Linked DNA regions of Danio rerio. The protein of the gene in region 1 interacts with the protein of each later gene in a pairwise test. Links are inferred from orthologs where the notes say so. Each region holds a gene or a part of one and is shown in the gene's direction. Other genes may lie near its edges.

What was found.
Region 2: the proteins of urod (region 1) and lratd2b interact in binary tests that used the Homo sapiens proteins (3 or more experiments, as listed by UniProt). The two-hybrid records come from large-scale screens. The link is inferred for Danio rerio from reciprocal best matches to the Homo sapiens genes UROD and LRATD2.

What each region holds. Positions count from the first base shown.
Region 1 is NC_133177.1:30,909,334-30,913,168, reverse strand, and holds part of urod (uroporphyrinogen decarboxylase), read left to right. Parts: intron 1-934; coding exon 935-1,047; intron 1,048-2,938; coding exon 2,939-3,018; intron 3,019-3,835. UniProt on the Homo sapiens protein: Catalyzes the sequential decarboxylation of the four acetate side chains of uroporphyrinogen to form coproporphyrinogen and participates in the fifth step in the heme biosynthetic pathway.
Region 2 is NC_133191.1:26,526,497-26,530,024, reverse strand, and holds lratd2b (uncharacterized protein LOC550535), read left to right. Parts: upstream 1-1,319; 5' UTR 1,320-1,655; coding exon 1,656-2,468; 3' UTR 2,469-2,758; downstream 2,759-3,528.

The sequences.
Region 1 (3,835 bases):
ATGGGACGTTCCACAGTGCTCATTCTATAAAGGCGCAGCTAAACAGATGTTTAAATAGGTATTTTTTTAATGCAACAAAATCGCCATAATATAAAGTAAAAATTACTTTCCATGAAGACATTAAGTAAATTTCATTCCATAAATATATATTTATAAACTTTTTTTTATAATAAGTAATGTGTATTGCTAAACTTAATTTGAACAGCTTTAAAGGCAATTTTTAGAGTATTTCTATTTATTTATTTTTCTCATGTTCCAAATATTGTCCTATCTAATAAACCATGCATCCATGGAAAGCTTGATATAGAAATCTCAATTTATAAAGATTGTCCTTTTTCTACGTGATTATTCACATCTGCGCCTCAGGTATGGTGTGTAGAGACTGTGAGCAAAGATCATTCAGGGACTGTTTTACAGCAGGACCGCTTGAATGGGTCAGTCACTCAAATTTACAGCTCTTTCACTTACATGTACCATTCAAAACAATATAGAAATACAGCTGTAAAGTCAGTAAGATCACAGATTTTCTTCATGTACATGTAGTAATTTATTGTTGTCACCTTGAAATTATAAGGATCTATCTGCGTTCCGAATGATTTTGAGACATTGAGCTTTAAAGTTTTTACATTCCATAGCAAACAGTATGTGTGTAACATTTGTTTTTTTTAAGAAAAAGTTTTAGGTTTTAAACAACAAAAATTAATGCCATAATGTAAATAAGTTGTCATTTATTAAGAATATATCTTATTATCTTATAACTCAATTTTGAAAAAAATGTCAGATAGAACCTTAGAATTCTTAGGTGACGATGTGTAGAAGAGCTGTCAATTTGTATGGGTCAGTTTCACCCTGACCCTTATCTAGCCTCACTTCACCACTGGAGAAATGTAATGTTGTCTGATAAATAATTAAATATTGCATTATTTTCTCTCAGCCCAAAAGACTTTCCAGAGTTGAGGAATGACACATTCCTGAGAGCGGCGCGAGGAGAAGAGATCGAGCACATTCCAGTGTGGTGTATGAGACAGGCTGGACGCTACCTGCCAGGTGTGTAACAATAACTTTGGCTGCATGATATTAAAAGAAATAATATTTTGTTTTTCAGCAATACAGTTCAAGGCAAAATTATTAGCCCTCCTGTGATATTTTAGTTATTTTTTTCAAATATTTCTAAGTGCTCTTTAACAGTTTTTTTCCAATACATTTTTTAACATAATAGTTTTAAACTCTGATCTCTAATGATCAATTTCTTTAGTCTTTCCCACGATGCCAGTACATCATATTTTACTAGTTATTTCACAAGTTAGGTTAGGTAGGCAACTCAATGGATACCAATAGTTTGTTCAGTAGCCAATCGGATAAATACAATTCTAAAGAGGCTGATAATCTGAGTAAGAAAGTTAAGCAAAGTCTAAACTGTTTTCGTTTTATTAGAAGGTTTTTAACATATCATACTGCAAAATTATACATGCACACAATGATATTCTCTCACTTGACATATTGCATTACATCTTGGTCACAAGCCTCTTTAACTACATTAACGCCTAGTGACTCAATATATAAACAAGTTGTTAAAATTATGGACTTAAAGCCTATGCGATGGCATCAATGTGATGTTTTATGTAAACATAACCTTTTTAGTTTTAATAGTTATATTAAATTGAATTATCTTAAATTGGTTTTTAAATGTTTAAATAATCATGTTCCAATGCTGTTTTCTGATCTAGTACGTAGGCATCAAATCTATGACTGTCTAGTGCCAAAGTGTAAGACCTCATTTGGTCAATCTGTCTTCTCTGTAAAGGGAGCCAAACTGTGGAAAGATTTATCTGTTAGCCTTAAATCAGAAAGAAATCTAAATATTTTTAGTAGTGCTCTTAAAAAAAGTGGTTTAAAACAAAACAGCAGTGTTTGCACAAGCAAGTCTACTGTTAGTTTGTTGGATCATGTCTCCTTTGCTTTTGCTTCAGTCATTTTCTGTAAAGAAATATAATGTTGTGTATATGTTTTATTATATTTCCATTTTGCCAATTTTTTCAAGCCTCCTATGGACAGGTGTTGAGAATTAGCAAGTTTGCTTAAACACTTAAACAAATGCATTTGGTTGTCCAATGTAATTGTGATGTCCATGTCAAATAAATAAATAAATATTAAAAAACAAATTATAATATTGATCTTTTTTTTATTATTATTATTCCAGAAATACTAAAAGAAGTAAGACTTTATTCAGATGAAAAAATATAGTAGTATTAGAAATGCAAACATCACTTGGGGGGAAAAAAAAAAAAAAAAAAAAAAAGAGTAGATATTCACAGGAGGGCTATTAATTTTCTCTTCAACTGTATATTGCAGTATATGAATACTATTTCACCAGATGACTTGTATAGCTCTATTTGTAAAGAATTTGTTATTTTGTAAGGTTTTCTATTGGAGTACATTTGCATAAAATATAATAAACAATTTACAAGCATAGATGATCACGATATAGCAAAGATACACATGAAATGAGTATGACAGCATTCAGGTACAGAAATTGAATAATCAAATATAAAATAAAAATGTATGGTCCTCATAGTGTAAATAACGATATACTATTAATAATGGCAAATCTACAAATTATATAATTACTTGTGTGCGAATAGTTTAAAACTTAAAATACTTACACAATCACAAGCCTTTAAATTAAAATCCATTATGGTCCATATTTGCAAATACTTTTTATAATGACTCCACAAGTCACATGTTCTGAATTGTATTGCTTGATCAACTACCATCCCATCTCAGCATTGTACGTCCTGTGATCGATGTGACTATTGTCGATGCTGAAATGTTATATTGTGTAGCTGATGAGCGCTGCCAGTTCTACGTGTGATTATTTATTATGAAGTAAGTCTGTTCATCCTTTCATCTCTGACTGGCTTGATTATCTATTCAACAGAGTTCAGGGAATCACGGGCAGGGAAAGATTTCTTTGAGACGTGTCGTTCCCCTGAAGCTTGCTGTGAGCTTACATTACAGGTCAGCACCACTGAGCATATGGGTTGTTGATGTAATGTTGTGTTTTTACTGTCATGCATGACAAAAAATTATATAATTAGTATTGTCATCATTAAAAATGTGTTAAATGGTTAAGCATTTCTTTGTCCTCCATGGATGTCTTGCTATAAAAACGGCTGTGTCATTACATTTTAGAATAAAAATGTTTTTGAAGCAAACCTCAGAGTTTTAAGACATTTTAAGGCTAGAATTAATCAAGTGATTTTTACAAGATGTTGTATTAAATATAAGAGAATAACTAATGTGTTTTTGCTTAAATTTGATGACTCCTACTTACTGTTTGTTCTGCACAACTGCTCTTACAGTAAAACATATTCTACTGGGCTGCCCTGCTTTTAATGATTGCAGAAGGCTTTTATATATATATATATATATATATATATATATATATAAAATGAATACTCGTAAGCACATTTTTAGCAAAGTGTCACCAGGAGAAATGTTAGACGTTTTGTAATTTATTAACACTAAAAATCTTATTTAATTTATGTATTAATTTGTTTGTTGTTTTTAATTGTACATTTAATAATGAAATATTATTGCCATAGAAAATAGCCTTTGTTATTGACAAAGGCTGTATAAAAAATCATCAGCGTATTTTTGAAGCAAATCTAAAACTGTTCTATGTTGTGACGGTATCAAGCAAAGTTCGACAAATTACAACTCTTATAAATTCAATAGAAATTCAGAAAATCTTTAATAAATACCTCCAGCCTAATTTTACAAGTGGCTGTTTTAGTAAATGGCAGTTCTTTTTGTAATCCATCTATTTCTAAAA
Region 2 (3,528 bases), on another chromosome or scaffold:
CCAAATGTGTCTGGTCTAAAGATACTGTCAGGAGGCTGTGGATTTTTTTACTGAGGTGCTGGGAGATGGACACTCAGTTTATAGCTGGTTTAACTGGTGATATGCCTTACGGCGACAGGCAGACGTCCTCGTGCTGAGGTGAGCAAATACATGGCAGACTTGTGGGCCAGCTGTTCTGTTAGGTAATTAAGAGCTGAAACACGCTTCTGGGCATGAGACGCCCCTGCAGTGGGCTGATGGACTGACAGCCAGGGGCTTGCTGTTTGCCAATCCACAACGCAGGACTATAAACACAGCAGTGGCTTTCAGACCCTCCTGCCCCGGACTGGAAATCACAAGCTGAAGTACCTCCAGGGAGAGCCTCTGAAGAGGCTGTCACTAAATTCAATGTGAAGAACACAGTAATGGACTTTATTTGGGGTAGACACCATGCTCAATTTTATACAAGTGATAAAAGGCTTGTGAAATTCAGAAGTACAGTTCATTCAGTTGGGGGTACTGTCTTAATTTGTTATAGCATATCTTTTTTATTCTTGTCAGAGGGATTTTTTTTTTTTTTTTTTTTTACAAAAAGTCTTTTCCATTGAATGATGTGTCCCTCACAGCTATTTTTAATTCATGAAGATTCACTATAACATCTACATTGAATAATATAGAGAAGTAGAGCATAGCACTAGCAATGCCAAGGTTGTGGGGTTGATTCCCAGGTAAAGCAAAAACTGTAAAATGTGTACCTTCAGTGGAGTATATCGCTTTGAGTAATTTCATTTGTCCACATGCTTCTTCACATTTTCCTCTCTTCTTATCACCAAGTCCTTTTCAGAAATGTTTTTCTTTAACCTTTTGTGAGCCATCCCAATATTTATTGTTCAAATGTATAACCAAGTAATAAATAACTAGGCTAATCTGCACTCATTTTAAATATAATGTCTTGCCTGAAAATGTCAACATATGAGTTTAAAGTTCAAATATCACGTGATACGCCAAGTCAATAAAACTGTTTGATAGGTCTCCTCAGCTATAGTATTTGACCTCTTTACACAAATAAATACTGTATAAGTTTAAGTCCTATGTTTATAATTTTATCAAAAAAGTAGTCACAATTCATGCTCTATAATTTAAACGTTAGCCTCTCAGAGTTTAATTTTTCAGTTTAATGACCATGTATCATCTGGCAGTCATAAATGTGCGCTGTCTCTTTAACTGCCCGTGCCTTGTGTAAACATCCCCGTGCCCGCTACTATTTCACACAGAGCTCTGCTACTGCCTCAGCCAGAACTTCAAAGAGTGTCGGACGCCGTCCATCACGCACAAACAGAGGAAATAACTCTTCAAACCCCCTCATTTCTCAACAAGAGACGCTCGCCGTCGGACTTCAGCTGTAGTGTCGGATGGGCTTCCCCCGTCCCCGGCTCGCACCAGGAAGTGAGCAGGTGAGACGCACCTGTTCAAAACGCAGACCGAAACTCAACATAATCTAAACTCCGGCAAACAATTTCGACAAATGTACGATATGCTACATAAATACTCCTCGCGGACATTCAGAAAACATGGACTTTGACCTGAACTGGGCTCCAAAGCCGGATTACGTGTTGCGTTTTTGAAATCTCCTCGACCTGTACAGGTGGGACGCGGAACGAGTGTCGGACGCTGTTATGGGGAATCAAGTGGAGAAGCTCACACACTTGAATTACAATGAATTACCGACAGCTGACCCTAATGGATTTGACCCAGAGGACGACGCTCCGCGGATCGGCGTCTCTTATATTTTCTCCGCCGATGACGACGAGCAGGAGGAGAACATGGACGAGACGGAGAATGAAGATGTCAAACATTACGACTGCCGGAACGAGCTGGAGTGCGCCGTGTATTATCGCGACGAGGTCATATACGAGCGGAATAGTCGGTTTGGTGAAGTGGGCACGCTGTCGCGCGAGAACTTGGCGAACAAGTGCAAAGCCGGCGACCTGGTGGAGTTCGTGGCCATCGGTCAGTTCCCGCACTGGGCGGTGTGTGTCGGCGAGCTACAGGTGGTTCATTTGCACAGAAACGAGATCAAATGCGACTTTCTTTTGGACGCGAGTCAAGGTAAAAGGGGCAGAATCGTGAACGAGCTGTATAAGTTTCGCGCGCTGAGCTCGGACGCGGTGGTCCAGAATGCCATGGAGCAGGTGGGCTTGAAGGAGCGGGACGTTTGCTGGAAGAACTCGGAGTGCTTCGCCGCTTGGTGCAGGTTTGGAAAACGCGAGTTTAAAGTCGGAGGCGAAATACGCATCGGTAAACAGCCGTACAAGATGAAACTGCAGCTCTCCGAGAAGAAAAGTCACGTTTTGGACTTTCAAAGTTTAGAGGATCTGATCGTGGAAAAGAGGAAAAACGACCAAATGGGAAGGGAAGCTGTCATTCAGGAGCTGGAGAATCATTTAAACTGCGCTGAAGAGCCTGGGGATGATTACAACTGTAACTGATGAATCAAAGAGGGAGGTTTCTCTGGTCTTGATGGAGGATATGGGTGTTATTTAAATCACCTCCAGCACAGCGGCTGTGGTGCAGTTTCATCAGAGTTTTCTGACAGGAGCACTTTTATAAATTGAACAAGTTTGAACAAGCTTGTTTTCAGTGACAAGGACACGATCATTCCCTCACTTTGTTGTATTCACATACAAGGGAACCGTTTATAAAAGCCTATCTCACTTTATTTGAGAACTATGTATTCCCTTGGCACATTATTTCAATAAACCTGAGTATTTTTTCTTAAGACTTTTTTTTTGTTATTCAGCTTTCATTGCCTCAGTGTGTACATGGGTCCATTAATAATTTAAGGGTTTCATGCATCAACACAATAAGTGTAATGCAAGACTTTTGTGTATTTTAATGTGTCCAGATTTATTTTAATCTTATTAAAAAACAATTAACCTAAAGAAATTTACAACTTTTAAGACAACAATAGTTTATATCAGCCACAAAAAAGTCCTGTTAGTTATATTCAGTAAATGTTCTTTTTTTTTCCCAACTTCATCCCTTTATCAATCTGGAGACCCCACAGTGGAATGAACCACCAACTTATCCAGCATATACCGGGAAACACCCATACACTCTTGCATTTACACACATACACTATGGACAATTTAGTCTACCCAATTCATACCGCATGTCTTGTGGGGGAAACCAATGCGAACACAATGGGAAGATGCAAACTCCACACAGAAATGCTAACTGATGTAGCTTGTTGTGAGGCGATTGTGCTACCCACTGTGCCACCATGACGCCCTACAATAATCATTTGATGGCATATTATGGATCACAGTGCAGCCCTAAGTTATTAATAAATCATCATTTTACATCTCTGCCACCATTCTTCAAACCACCAGGTTTCATACATTTGTCAGTAATAAAAATTAATATGATCTCTTATTTTTTATAGCTCAGAACTGTTATGTTGTCTCATTTTTTTGTACAAATGTATGTTACGCCGAATGATGATGATGATGATAAATGAAATGCTCAGTGATACACACAGAATATATT